2 linked regions of the Sus scrofa genome follow. The protein of the gene in region 1 interacts with the protein of each later gene in a pairwise test. Links are inferred from orthologs where the notes say so. Each region holds a gene or a part of one and is shown on either strand. Other genes may lie near its edges.

The links.
Region 2: the proteins of AIDA (region 1) and PINX1 interact in binary tests that used the Homo sapiens proteins (3 or more experiments, as listed by UniProt). The link is inferred for Sus scrofa from reciprocal best matches to the Homo sapiens genes AIDA and PINX1.

What each region holds. Positions count from the first base shown.
Region 1 is NC_010452.4:11,432,965-11,435,912, forward strand, and holds part of AIDA (axin interactor, dorsalization-associated protein), read right to left. Parts: intron 2,391-2,948; coding exon 2,268-2,390; intron 1-2,267. UniProt on the Homo sapiens protein: Acts as a ventralizing factor during embryogenesis. Inhibits axin-mediated JNK activation by binding axin and disrupting axin homodimerization. This in turn antagonizes a Wnt/beta-catenin-independent dorsalization pathway activated by AXIN/JNK-signaling.
Region 2 is NC_010456.5:14,039,154-14,042,905, forward strand, and holds the start of PINX1 (PIN2/TERF1-interacting telomerase inhibitor 1), read right to left. Parts: upstream 2,688-3,752; 5' UTR 2,548-2,687; coding exon 2,529-2,547; intron 2,158-2,528; exon of another isoform or gene 1,686-2,157; coding exon of another isoform or gene 1,664-1,685; intron 1-1,663. UniProt on the Homo sapiens protein: Microtubule-binding protein essential for faithful chromosome segregation. Mediates TRF1 and TERT accumulation in nucleolus and enhances TRF1 binding to telomeres. Inhibits telomerase activity. May inhibit cell proliferation and act as tumor suppressor.

The sequences.
Region 1 (2,948 bases):
ACCCCAAACTTCTGTTTCTGAACCGAGGGACATGTCCCCAGACCCAGGTCTACAAAGTAGAGCAAAACGTCTTGAGCCGGCAAACTCCAGGATGTGGATGAGGTGTAGTTATGAACCATCAGGAGCAGAGAGTAACTAACCATTCCAAAAAGAACACGGACGATGCCTAAGTATGAACATTACTCGCAGACACTCTAAGTAGAAAAGGCACACAAAAGAGTTCTTCAGAAAATCCAAGCTTAGGAGTTCCTGTCGTGGCTCAGCAGAAACAAATCCAACTAGCAACCGTGAGGTTGCGGGTTCGATCCCTGGTCTCGATCAGTGGGTTAAGGATGTGGGATTGCCGTGAGCTGTGGTGTAGGCCGCAGACACGGCTCGGATCTGGCGTTGCTGTGGCTGTGGTGTAGGCCGATTTGACCCTTAGCCTGGAAACCTCCAAGTGCTCAGGTGCAGCCCTAAAAAAAAGAGAAAAAAAAAAAAAATCAGAAAAAAATCCAAGCTTAAATGGTTTCTCTTCCGTTTGAAATAAAAACTCAAAAGTTCAATTTTGGCGGTGTTTTGAGTTCAAACTACATAAATCATGCACTGGCTCAGCTTTCAAATGTTACCTATTTCCTGATAGCTTTTCCAGCGTCCAAGTCCCGCTGTTGCCTGGAATGAGGCGCGCTGGCGTAAAGACGGGGCGATGGAGGACGAGGGTTTCAGGAGCAGGGGTGTCCTGCACCCTCCCCAGTGAGCAAATGGTGACGAAAAATTCAGTTTTCTTTCCCCCAAAGCACAGCAGATGAGCGCGCTCCACCTCCCCAAAGAAAAAGCCAAAACGGGAAGAAGAAATTGCCTCATCCACGCAGCCAAGGCAACTCATCTCTAGAGGGACACGGGGGGACGCAAGGAAGCCAGGGGCTCGCTCTGGACTGGCGACTTAGTGACACGGCCTTCGCCGGAGCAGTGCTGGATCCGGCTCTGCCCTCCAGACGGTCAGCACACATCAGTACTTTCCCTGCGGATCACACTCAGAGTGACCAGACGTTCAACAGTGCTCGTCAGGGTGCGCAGCCCTGGCGCCTGGGGCCAAATGGAGCCAGCGCTTCTCCAATCAGGGGAGGAGAGAAAAACCACCGGCCCAGGAGACAGAGGATGCGGGCAGGGGAGAGACGGGCGTGTTGGCTCTGCTGCTCACAGGCACCAAAGGAGCACGACGGCCGGCTTACTGGTGCCCTCTGTCCCCAGGTGTATGACCCTGCCATGTCCACAAGGGAGGAACGTCTCTTCTCCCTTTTGTGACAATAAGGGAGGCATTTTATTTTTTAAAAAACCTCACGGATTTTTAAGACAGCAGATCACAGAGTTCCCGTCGTGGCTCAGTGGTTAACGAATCCACTAGGAACCATGAGGTGGTGGGTTCGATCCCTGGCCTCACTCAGGTGGTTTGAGGATCTGGCATTGCTGTGACTGTGGTGTAGGTTGGCAGCTACAGCTCCGATGAGACCCCTAGCCTGGGAACCTCCATATGCTACAGGTGAGGCCCTAAAAAGACAAAAATAAATAAATAATTTTTAAAAAAAGGAACCAAAGGATAGCAGATCACATTTCTTAGTCTCTTCAGCTACAGGATTCTTGTCATCATGACTATGTCTGAGGTCTGAATAAATGTGAAAATAAAATCAATTTGAAAACAACATTAGGGAGTTCCTGTTGTGGCGCAGCAGAAACGAATCCAACTAGGAACCATAAGGATGTGGGTTTGATTCCTGGCCTCAATCATCAAGTTAAGGATCTGGCGTTGCCCTGAGCTGTGGTGTAGGTCGCAGATGCAGCTTGGATCCCGCATTGCTGTGGCTGTGGGGTAGGCTGGCAGCTGTAGCTCTGATTTGACCCCTAGCTTGGGAACCTCCATGTGCCACAAGTGAGGCCCTAAAAAGCAAAAAACGAAACTAAATAAAAAATTAAAAGATAAACATTAAAGTCCAAATATGATACCATCATTTTAAAGAAGTTAAATTTTTTTTTATTATCCATCTGCATCATCTGTAGATAATCTATTTCCTGCATTCCCGGGGGGCATAGCTCTGTACTTCAAGGACATTTATGAGAACAAAATGCCAAGTGAGAACAGCAGGGACAGTCCCTGAACTGCCTGTAAACAAAAAGGCTCATCGACAGCATCAGTCGCAGTTAAAACGACCGTCACGGTACACGACAGAGTCAAAGCTGGAGAAAACGAAGAGTCAGATTCGGAATCTGGGTCCACTTTTAGCACCACAAACCTTTGGTTAATTTTTCAACATGCTTCTGGAGCTCAATGTCCACATTGAAATGAACGTATGTATCTTCTTTTCTCGAAGCCACAGGAGTGTCCTGCACAGGAGTTAAATCTATGCCATTCAGATCTAGGGAGGAAAGAAATGTTCAAATACACAGACACACACACTGCGAAGCAACCACAACGGGCTGTGCTTCCTAAAGAGGCAGCAGCTCAGGGCAGAGTCTTAGGTGGACAGAACTCCCCCTGGTGTGGCAGGTACCTCAAGGAGGCGGGTTTGCACCTGGAGGGGGCACTGAGCAGAGAGGGTAGGAGCCCTGGGGGCGGGGGGAAGCCTCTTACACCCAACAAACATGGATCCCTCGAGTGGGGAACAGGCCAGGGTATCCCTGGGAATCATACTTGGGGACGTGAGCAATACTCCGCAGTGGGGTCCCTACCCCTCTTTCCCAGCCTTGATCGGGTGCACGATGTGGAATCCCAACATTGCCAGGACGCCTCGGCGGTGTGCAAGTCAGAGGCCAAAAAGGGGACACGACAGCTGCGAGGGAAACCTGTCCATGACTGGACAATTTTTATATACATTATCTAAACCCTCATTCTGTGTGCTATGGCGTCAGCTGGTTTACAATAACCAGCTGGCACACCATGTATGGTACCCGGCTGTAACTTCTGGAGCCAGCAA
Region 2 (3,752 bases), on another chromosome or scaffold:
AAAACAAAGGAAATAGTCTACCTAATTTAGAAAAAATGTTCACTAACATTAATTAGGAAGAAAAAATTATAAAACCATACCTACAGAATTGCCCCAATTTTATAAACTATCAGATAAAATAATTCCTAGGTAATGAAATAATGGGACTGGGACTTTTTTATGCTTTTGTTTTCTCATTTCTAAAATAAGAAAACCAGTTCTAAGTATCTAATTAGAAAAGATGCCATAAACATTAATTTAGCAAATTTTTAAAAAGATAACCAAAATATGGGAGTTCCCATCGTGGCACAGTGGTTAACGAATCCAACTAGGAACCATGAGGTTGCAGGTTCGATCCTTGGCCTTGCTCAGTGGGTTAAGGAACCAGTATTGCCATGAGCTGTGGTGTAGGTTGCAGACATGGCTTGGATCCCACGTTGCTGTGGCTCTGGCGTAGGCCGGTGGCTGCAGCTCCAATTAGACCCCTAGCCTGGGAACCTCTGCATGCCACAGGAGCGGCCCTAAAAAAGGCAAAAAGACCAAAAAAAATAATAATAATAATAATAACAAAATAACCAAAATATATATTATCATTCCAAAGATTTGAAAATCTGGAGTCAGGGTGGGGAGAGGAGAACTGAAAATATTTTCTTCAGATCAAGCAATCTGAATTACTGATGTCCACATATGGAACTTCACAACGGCGTTATCACTTTATATACTTTTAACTGTTTTCATCTTCACCATATCATTGATTTTTTTAAGCCAATCTAGTGATGAACATAATCAAAGAAATTTGTTTTTGTTTTTTGTCTTTTTGCCTTTTCTAGTGCCGCACCCGCGGCATATGGAGGTTCCCAGGCTAGGGGTCTAATTGGAGCTGCAGCTGCCGGCCTACGCCAGAGCCACAGCAACGCAGGATCCGAGCCACGTCTTCAACCTACACCACAGCTCATGCCCACGCCGGACCCTTTACCCACTGAGCAAGGCCAGGGATCGAACCTGCAGCCTTGTGGTTTCCAGTCAGATTCGTTAACCACTGCGCCACGACGGGAACTCCATTTTTTCTTTTTTAAGGCTACAACGTGGCATATGTAAATTCCCAAGCTAGGGGTCGAATGGGAGCGACAGCTGCCGGCCTACTACACAGCAAAGCGGGATCAGAGCTGCGTCTGCGATCTACACCACAGCTCAATGCTGGATCCCCGACCCACTGAGCAAGGCCAGGGATGGACCCCCCCCCCCCGCCCCGCCCGGCATCGTCATGGAAACTAGTCCGATTTGTTTCCACTGCGCCATAACAGGAACTCCTCAAAGAAATTTTTAATAGCTCTAGGGAAACTGATTATGGAAAGAGACATAAATGAATGGCAGAGCCAGGGCCAACGCTCCCAAGTGTATGCTGAACTAAGCTTACACCAAAGAACATTAAAACCAGGAGATATTAGCCACGCTGGATATACAAATGAGAAAATAGAGGTAGTAGGGTCACAGTCTAAAACATACTCTCTTCTGTAAGTCTCTATTTAAAAAAAGAAAATAGAAGATTGCTGACTCTAGTGACAAGAACGTAAAGATATATAACTAGATGAATTTTGTCACTTTTTACCTCCATGACTTAAGCTGCATTATATTTCCTCTGAACCTCAATCTCTGCCCCTCTAAAATTTGAATGCTGCCTTACCCACTTCATCTTGTGCTTCCATTTCCCCTACCCTCTTAGATTAGAGGATGCCGACAGCATTTACTTCATGGCACCCCTGCGCAATGGCTGTTGATCTGATAAACATGCTGTTTCTGCTCCTAGTTCGCTTTCAAGAAAGTTACCGGCCGGCTTTTCATGACCAACGCACGACTGCCATCTGGTGGCCGGCGGCCTTAGCTACAGGTAGCATTCAGAAGTTAAAAAGCCTCTCCAGATGGAGGGAATTAACCAGTTTCACTCCAAGTGACCGTAAATGTCAAAGGCAAATGAGGCATGACGGGCGTTGCAGCCAAAACTTCTCTAAAAGAAGTGTTCATAATTCCAACTAAAAACATCAAAACTGCCACAATCTTACTTAAAAACACTCATTAGCCCTGCCTCCCCTAAAAAACGCCAACTTCCAGTGTTTGCTGTTTCAAACTCCTTTGCTTTTCTTTCTCTGGCTTCAATACATCGAGAACAGGATTTCACTAGCCCAACCGCCTCTTTTATCCAGAGGAAGCTGAGGCCTAGGGAAGTGAAATAGCCAGTCTGGGTTCCCACACCCGGCGTCCTGACTCCCGTTCGAATTTACCGCGCGAGTGCCCGGGTCCGAGAGTGAAGACGAGCGTCCCAAGTGGACCCTCAAAGTCTCTCACCAGCAGACATATAGCTAACTCGGGGAAGGCTGGGCTGGGTTCGGCAGCCAGGGCCAGCCAAACCGGGCTTCCGGGACCCCGGCTCCCGGAATCTCCCGATCCACTGGCGCGCCAGCAACCCGCGCCCCTGCCACACGGTCCGGCCGTCGCGTTATCCGGAACCCTCACCCATGGGCCGTGGTCCACCCTCCGCGCCCAGCACTCACGCTCAGCCAGCATCGACATGTCGCCGAGCCTGTGACGCCAAGGGCTTCGAAACCTGAGCGACTTCGGCTCCGGTGCGTCCGACTTACTGAGAACCTAGAACCACAGGACTCACACGCCGGGCGAACTGCAGCGGCGAGGGCGCGCACTGCTGACGTCAGTGAGACGCGACCAGTTTCCAATTCCCGCGGTAGCGGGTGAGCGGGGAGCGGACCCATTGGGTCTCTGCGTTTGGGTCAAGGCGGGCTTTACTAAAAGGTTTGTTCCAACTCCAGAATTCCACGAGTCTGTGAAGTATCTATGAGTATAATCTACTAAAACGAACTGTTACTGAGTTTTGAATTTTTTTTAAATTACAGAATCTTATTGGTATTTTTAAATTGTCAGCTAGGAATAGATAGTGCACTTTTAGAAAGATTCAGTGTAAGACATTCTCATTCTGTCTTTGTTGTTTTGGGGGTGGGGGGGGGTTGGCCTTTTTAGGCCGCGCCCGCTGCATATGGAGGATCCCAGGCTAGAGGTCCAATTGGAGCTGTAGCCGCCGGCCTAAGCCACAGCCACAGCCACGGCAGATCCGAGCCCCGCCGCCTCTGCAGATCCTTAGCCCACTGAGCGAGGCCAGGGATCGAACCCGCGTCCTCATGGTTGCCAATCAGGTTCGTTAGCCGCTAAGCCACAACGGGAACTCCAAGACGTTCTATCTTATTCTTCAGGCTCATGGTAGACTCGCATAGAGCAGGGCTTTCTCAGACTTTAATGTTCGCGTGAATTACCTGGGGATCTTGTTGAAATGCATTTCTCTGGTTCAGCAGGTCTGGGATAGGGCCAGAGATTCTGCATTTCTAACAAACTTCCAAGGATGTGGATGCTGATGGCCTTACTTTGTGGGAACAACCAAAGGTATGAATGAACTCAGGGTTAAAATATACTCTGTTCTTTTTTTCCTATGAAGAAAAATGATTTATGAAGAACACTTTAGGTGATGGTGATAAATACTTTCAAAATATTTAAAAGAACTGAACCTAGGAGTTCCTGTTGTGGCTTAAAGGTAGCAAACCTGACTAGTATCCATGAGGATGTGGGTTTGATTCCTGGCCTCACTCAGTGGGTTAAGGATCTGGCGTTTCTGTGAGCTGTGATGTATGTCGCAGATTCCATTCAGATCCTCTCGAGGCTGCGGCTGTGGCGTAGGCTTGTGGTTACAGCTCCAATTCAACCCCTTGCCT